Arabidopsis thaliana: one gene and its partner. The protein of the gene in region 1 interacts with the protein of each later gene in a pairwise test. Each region holds a gene or a part of one and is shown on either strand. Other genes may lie near its edges.

Evidence for each region. Proteins that work in one complex are often made in the same cells at the same time.
Region 2: the proteins of AAT1 (region 1) and CNGC10 interact in a protein complementation assay, tested with the Arabidopsis thaliana proteins (one large-scale study listed by BioGRID).

The regions. Positions count from the first base shown.
Region 1 is NC_003075.7:11,268,275-11,272,029, forward strand, and holds the start of AAT1 (amino acid transporter 1), read left to right. Parts: upstream 1-1,710; 5' UTR 1,711-2,043; coding exon 2,044-2,452; exon of another isoform or gene 2,453-3,690; intron 3,691-3,755. Other genes in the region: AT4G21110 (G10 family protein), read left to right, coding at 345-500. UniProt on the Arabidopsis thaliana protein: High-affinity permease involved in the transport of the cationic amino acids (e.g. arginine, lysine, histidine, citrulline, valine, and glutamate). Transport mostly basic amino acids, and, to a lower extent neutral and acidic amino acids.
Region 2 is NC_003070.9:133,856-137,610, forward strand, and holds the start of CNGC10 (cyclic nucleotide gated channel 10), read right to left. Parts: upstream 2,070-3,755; 5' UTR 1,853-2,069; intron 1,468-1,852; exon of another isoform or gene 1,415-1,467; 5' UTR 1,362-1,414; coding exon 1,333-1,361; exon of another isoform or gene 1,264-1,332; coding exon of another isoform or gene 1,250-1,263; coding exon 727-1,249; intron 647-726; coding exon 434-646; intron 352-433; coding exon 56-351; intron 1-55. Other genes in the region: AT1G01350 (Zinc finger (CCCH-type/C3HC4-type RING finger) family protein), read left to right, coding at 2,877-2,961, 3,080-3,755. UniProt on the Arabidopsis thaliana protein: Probable cyclic nucleotide-gated ion channel.

The DNA.
Region 1 (3,755 bases):
AATAGGTTCTAGAATTGGTATTGTTGCTTTGTTTGGTGAAGAAATAAGATTTCTGGTAATTATACTTCGAACAAAGTGCATTGCCTCCACGATTTGCCAAATTTTGGATAGTTCTAACTTCTAACCATACTCCCACATCTTAATGATGGTCACTCATGAATCGTTTATTAACAAACTCCTCCCTGTCAATTCTGTTGCATCTTCTCTTTGTAGGTTATACTATCCAGACATATACCTAGATTTCACTTTTGTTTTCTTTCATTGAACTAAGATTTTGTCATTTATACGTGTCTCTATACTTTGTGTTAAGTAACTCTAAAAACTCTCTGTTTTGTGTTTTGCAGTCGGGATACGAACGTTTATGCTGCTTGCGCTGCATACAGCCAAGAGACCACAACTATGGAACAACATGTGTATGCCGTGTTCCCAAACACTTGCGTGAAGAGAAAGTGGTCGAATGCGTTCACTGCGGCTGTCAAGGATGCGCGAGTGGCGATTAAATTCAACATAGCTTTATTCGCTATCTCTGACTGTTTGTTACAATCTTGTCACTTGTTAAATCTGGATTATGTATTATTCCATAAAGGCTAAAAACCCTGACTAAAAATCTCCTTGCTCTTACTTATCAACTCTGGGTGGTATTGCAAATAAAAAGAACGTTCCGGTTTGGTATATAGTTGAAACTTGAAAGTAGAAAGACGTTTCCCGGTTTGGTATCTTACTGAATTAAAAGAGTGTTTTACTATTCCCAAAAGTGTCAATTTCTCTAAATTCGTGAGATTTGCAGCAAGTTTATCATGACGCCGTGAGTTATGTTTTGGTCAACCGGTGATAGAACAAGATATTATTGAAGCAGAAATAATTATTAATTCTTGTATTTATCTAGACGAAACTTGATTGCTTGATCCAAGGAAATTGTTTTGACTTCAAAATTGTATTGGTTCTCACTACAGTTGACCTGCCCCTATGTTTCCATGTGGAACAAGATTCTTCGTCTTGGTCATATGGATTAGTATTATTTATTTCTAATCTTATCGTGTAATGCATGTATGATGTATGTTCTAAACAAGATGTCCACCAAGGTCCAAAACGAGAAGAGATGCCCATTACGCTCGCTCTAGATGCTTTGTGAAACTCGATGGACTTTCTTCTCTTTAAACTCACATAACATACATACATGATCCAAAATCCATGATCGTTCTTTTTTTTTTTGGGTTCATTTTTCATGGTTTATTGGAAGCACAAAAGAAACCAAAAATAGGATCACAGTTCTTGGACATCGTTTAATACAAAACTAGAGGAAGTAAACATTAAAAAAAAAACTTGAAAAATTAGGGGAGGCTAAATCATTTTCTTGACGCGCTTGTAATAGGAGGAGCAATTGTGGTAAGTGGTTGGTGTGAATTAGAACCCAATTATCAACTAAGTCGAGTTTTGTTTAAAACCAATAAATTTCATATACAAGTTTGAAACTGAACATATAACTTTTTCTTTATATATCATAATTTTGAGTATAACGGATATAACATTTTACTTAAATGAGAAAGTACTATTGAATTATCCAGAAGACGTGATCCGATGGAAAAATTCGTATCACACATGATCTTTTCTTTTTATGGCACACCAGATTTTGTTTACATTTATAATTCGATTTCATCTTTTTCTTAGAAAAAATGGTCAAAGAATGCAGCTGGTGACCAACTAGTGACCATACAACAAGAACAAAATCTCATGGACTCTATTTAAGGTTTCCATAATTTAATTTACCGTATCACATTTCCAGCTAATTACACAAAACCGTCGATAAATAATTGTTTATAGAAAGAAATAAATACAAGAAAAACGTCAAAGGATAGCTACTATAAGTAAGGCAGACTTTAGGAACCCAAAATTCTGTTATTAATTTACAAAAACTAAAGAGTTTTTCACTTTTCAGTTTCTCTTCTTACCATTCACTCTAAAAAAACAGAGTCTTTATAAAACCGATCTCAGATTCTGAATCTGAATCAGAATCTGGATCAACATAATTTTCTAACAAAAAAAATGGCTTCGGGTGGTGGTGACGATGGGCTTCGTCGGCGAGGCTGTTCATGCACAAAAGACGATTTCTTACCGGAAGAATCGTTCCAAAGCATGGGGAATTACCTAAAAGCCCTTAAAGAAACACCGAGTCGGTTCATGGATCGTATTATGACTCGGTCACTAGACTCCGACGAGATTAACGAGATGAAGGCTCGTAGTGGTCACGAGATGAAGAAGACGTTGACGTGGTGGGATCTCATGTGGTTTGGTATCGGTGCAGTCATCGGCTCTGGGATATTCGTTCTCACTGGACTCGAAGCACGTAATCATTCCGGTCCAGCCGTCGTGTTGTCTTACGTTGTCTCTGGTGTCTCCGCCATGCTCTCCGTCTTTTGTTACACCGAGTTCGCCGTTGAGATTCCCGTCGCAGGTAACAAAATTATCATTTCCTCTGTTTCTCATTTATATTTATATTTTCGTTTTTTTTTTGGTATGTTATATTTATATTTTCTTGTTAGAGAATTTCTAATTTGAAAAAGTTGAAAAATATTAAAATTTACAAGTTTAAAATTTCATTTTTACATCTTTGAACTAAAGACGCATCTTAACAGATCCTATTTTTTTGTAACGTCGGTCATAAATATGCGAATTTCAAGAAAATGTTCAGACTATATTTTTTAGGATTAGTGTCATAAGTAGGAAGATAGGGAAAATACGTTTAAGCAGGCTAAGAGTCTCTTAGCTGGTTAAATTTAGTTTTAATTACGATTTACATGTTTAAACGAAACGCATATTTGAGGATATCTTTTCTAGCGATATTCTAACTATAGTGTCATCATAATTAGGGAATAGAAAAATGTAGCGTACATTTATCAAGATCTAATAAATATGCAGACGTATCATTTCTGACAACTTCGTCAATAAGAAAATATTCTACTTGATTCAATCATTTATGCTGGTGCATTTTTCCGGCAACTTAATCCTTCTTTTTTTGGTTCGGTGTCGATTAAGTTTTTGTCCCATGTTTTGGGAGTCACTAGTGGTTATGAGTCCTTTTTTTATATATCAGTTGCATAATTCACCTCAATACAACGACCAATAAAATATTCTGTTGATGTACAAAGAGTCAACCATACGATATGCTTTTAGTAATACTTCTAAACTCAACATTAATTAAAAATGTAGTTATTGTCTTACTTGTAAATTATTTAGGTTAAAACCAAAAAAAAAAAAACTATTTAGGTTTAAAATGTGTAAATGAATAAGATCAGCTTCTTTATTACAAAAATTACTATAGAACAAATATTGAATTTTCAACTCTCGTAGCGTGACGGAATCTCTGGGGTCAACTAGTTGACATCTGACTTATGAGGGTCGTTCACACTATCTAGTATCAATCTACTATTTATCCTCCGTTTTTTTCCTTTTAAATTTGATAGTAGCTACAATACTATCAAATCACAAATTAAACAATCGAATGATTTGATTATTATCTTAGAGTTGCAAAATATTTGTTGCCATTTATTAGATTGTTAGCTACTTTTAAAATTGTATTTAAAACTTTGTAATTTCACAATTTTAGTCATGGGGTCTACCTAGAAGACTTTTACATACAGACAAAGAAATTAAGCTAAACAGATGATTACTTACGTCAATGACCTTATATACGTAAGTCCCAACTATATAAGTCAAGCTTGTAAATTGCCTTTATTGACAGTTCAAAAGTAAATTAA
Region 2 (3,755 bases), on another chromosome or scaffold:
TCTCCAAATATAGCTAGTTAGTTATTGTCAACAGTTTTATGTGTGTCTTACAAACCTCAGATTTCGAAGACCCCACCAGAAGCAGTAGAAGAATTTCTTCCAGAAATCATGTGATTCAACAACGCCACTCTTAAGAGCATCAGTGAAGATGCCAAAGTTGAAGATGGTTGAGTTTGTTATATCACCAGGGTCGAGAAATGGGCAAGAAGTGGTCAGGAAATTGTTGCTAACGTTACGATCGTTTTCACAGTAGAGGAATTTCATATTACAACCTTTTGTCTTCTCGCATGCCTCTTGCCAGCATCTGTCTTCTCGTTCTACTGAGATTAAGTACCATAAAGCTCCAAACACCTGAATAAGTAAGTTTAACATATAACCTTTAATATGCATTTACATGTATAAAGATTCAGTCATCAAAAGATCCGAAACTCACATGACTGGCTAACATATAGAGAGAGAGGTTCCAAGCAGCTCCAGCCCATGCTGTTTCAGTAACAATGCCAGATGTTCTTGTCACTTCAGTGTAAAGCGGATACATACGGAGAATCCGAGGAACATATTGAGCAATTATGGAAAATTTAAGGTAGTCTTTTGTTAGCAAAGAGACTGGCTGGTTGACGCTTGGAATAACGGCTAAAACTACTATCTGCAAAAGTTAAGAAGCCAGAGGATTCAAAAAGAAATGATCATTGACATTTTGAACAAGTAATCAAACTAGTCATTTACCTGTGGGAGAGGAAGGATAGAGAGTAGATCAATGATGAAGTAAGAAGAGAGATACTTTAAGGCTATTGCCTTAGCATCATCTACCAGTTCACCTCTTCCAAAAACCCGCGAAGAAGGAGCGATGTAAGCTGTCCTGAACTGAAACACAATGTGAATAATGTAAAAGGCATCGATGAGCGTACGAAGCAAACTCGCAGCTATCTCCAACTTTGAGTCCAAAGTAAGACAGTGCCTTGCGCTATCGACAATGGGAATGTAGAAAAACAATGGATCAATCGCCAAAGCAACCACACAAGCAAATAAAAATATTTTGTTCCAGTTCTGGAGAAACGAATCCTGCGGGTTTATGATGTTCTTCCGAGTAACACTAGATGTTTCCTTGTGGTCAGGATCCTTATGTGAAGGGAAACTCAATGGCTTCTTGAATCCCCATTTTACATTCTTGAAAACTCTATCTAAAGAAGGTCTAGCTTTTCTTCCATAACCATATTCAGAGGATAATGGTTTGCCTTCATCTTTGAACCTAAACAAAATCATAAGAAAATGAGATAGTAGAAAAAATCATTCAACTATGAACTGTTTTCAAGATTTTCTGTAACTACCAACCTTACACGATTATCATGGCTAAATGCCATCAGCCAAACCCTTGTATATTTCAACTGATCTTTCGCTTACAGGGTGACGAGTCCTAACATTATAATAAGAACCAAAACTTAAGACATACGAATTCTTCTACATGATTACGTACAATGATAATCCCCAATACCAATTAAAAATAAGCAAGTAGACACCTAACTACAAATACAATTGTGTTGTGTGTATGTGTTTTTAAATATTTCTTTCTTGAAAAGGTTAATTAGAGAACCTAGAATCAGTCAATTTCCACCTAACATTAGATTATACCAAATCCTGTAATTCCTACCCATTCCTGCTCAATAAATGGAAACCACACGAACAACTTAAAAACACTGTTCATCAAAGATAAGAAATCCAAATTTCAAAAAACCATTGACCATAAACGAAAGACATATATCTAAGCGTTTCGGTTCTGAGAAACAGCAAAATAAATTCAGACGAAAAAGAACAAAAACGGAAATCGGAATCAAAATTCTATCATCAAACTAACCTGAAACGAAGTAGGTAACGGCGAGATAGTAAGATTCGGCTAATAAACGGAAGTCGGTGAACGGCGTTTTCTTCAATTCAAGCAACTGGTCCCGTCGTCGCTGGAAAGAGAGAGAGACTCATATGGCGGTTACTTGTATCTCTCTCTGTATATTGTTTCCTGGAAAAGTAGTATATGAGAATTTTATTATACGACAAAAAGGGAGGGAAAGAGGAATATTATGCAATTAAATATTATAAAGTCTGTTCAATTGAAAATCATTTCATAAAACAATTTCATTCAGATGAATGACTTGGTCAAAGTCAGACGGCGAGAATAAGCAAGTTGCCAAATTTTAAGTACCGGGCCCATTATGAATATTGAGCCCATTTAGATTCATGACCCAAAATGAAGTAACCGCCCCACCATATGTTCCTTATTTCTTTTCTCTTCACACTGATTTATTTTCTGTCGGAAAATACGGACGGCGTCGTCGTTCTTTTTGACGGTGTAGCTCACCGGCGTCGATTTTTAGATTTTTTTTTAAGGTAACATATTCTTCCTTGTGTTTAATCTCCATACTTTTGATCTACTTTTCGTTCTTGTTTAGTCTTTAGTGTTGTTCGAGCTTTTGTCTCCAATTTCAATCAATTCAAAGGGTTTTTAGATTCCAAATTTTGTAGCTTCCGTTGACACATCGAGTTGTCGAACTGTGTTTCGGATTGATCTGTCTGGAGCTTCTATTTCTGCTTCCTTATCTACTGTGAATGAAATTGCCACCGATATAGATAGTTAGCTAGGGTTTATTCGTGAGCTCGCGTAGATGAATTAGGAAGAATTCAGGTGATCATTTTTATGTTGCATTGTCTATTATTGTAACTGAATCTGGAGAAATTTTGATAAAATTGTTGTTTGACTCAGTGCAAACAAATTTACAAGTTTTCAGGAAATTGACTTAATACTAATCTTGAATTTTGCAGGGAAACACTAAGCAGCAAATTACAAGTGGGTGATTTGTGTTTGTTACATAGTCTTATATCTAACTATGTCAGATTCTGGTGAGCCTAAACCTTCTCAGCAAGAAGAACCTCTACCTCAACCTGCTGCCCAAGAAACTCAGTCTCAACAAGGTTACATATACTTCCTTCTATCTCAATTCTAGTTGTCGTCTCATTGAGATTTTTTCTTGTTCTTCGTTGTTAGCTAGAAATTTTCATTTACACTAATCAAATCATTCTTCTGTTTCAGTTTGCACTTTCTTCAAGAAGCCAACGAAAAGTAAAAACATAAGAAAAAGAACCATTGACGCTGATGAAGAAGACGGAGATTCGAAAAGCGAAAGCTCTATTCTACAAAATCTAAAGAAAGTTGCAAAACCCGATAGCAAGTTATACTTTTCTTCTGGACCATCTAAGAGTTCTACTACAACGAGTGGAGCTCCTGAGAGGTCCGTCTTTCACTACGATTCATCCAAGGAAATCCAGGTTCAGAACGACAGTGGAGCAACAGCAACCCTTGAAACTGAGACCGACTTCAATCAAGACGCACGAGCTATCCGTGAGAGAGTTCTTAAAAAAGCAGACGAAGCATTGAAAGGGAATAAGAAAAAGGCTTCTGATGAGAAGCTGTACAAAGGAATTCATGGATATACAGATCACAAAGCTGGGTTTAGAAGAGAACAAACAATCTCGAGCGAGAAAGCTGGAGGCTCACACGGGCCATTAAGAGCTTCTGCTCACATAAGAGTGTCGGCTAGATTCGATTACCAGCCAGACATTTGCAAGGATTACAAAGAAACCGGATACTGTGGATATGGAGATTCGTGTAAGTTCTTGCATGACCGTGGGGATTACAAACCAGGATGGCAGATAGAGAAAGAGTGGGAAGAAGCAGAGAAAGTTAGGAAGAGAAATAAAGCTATGGG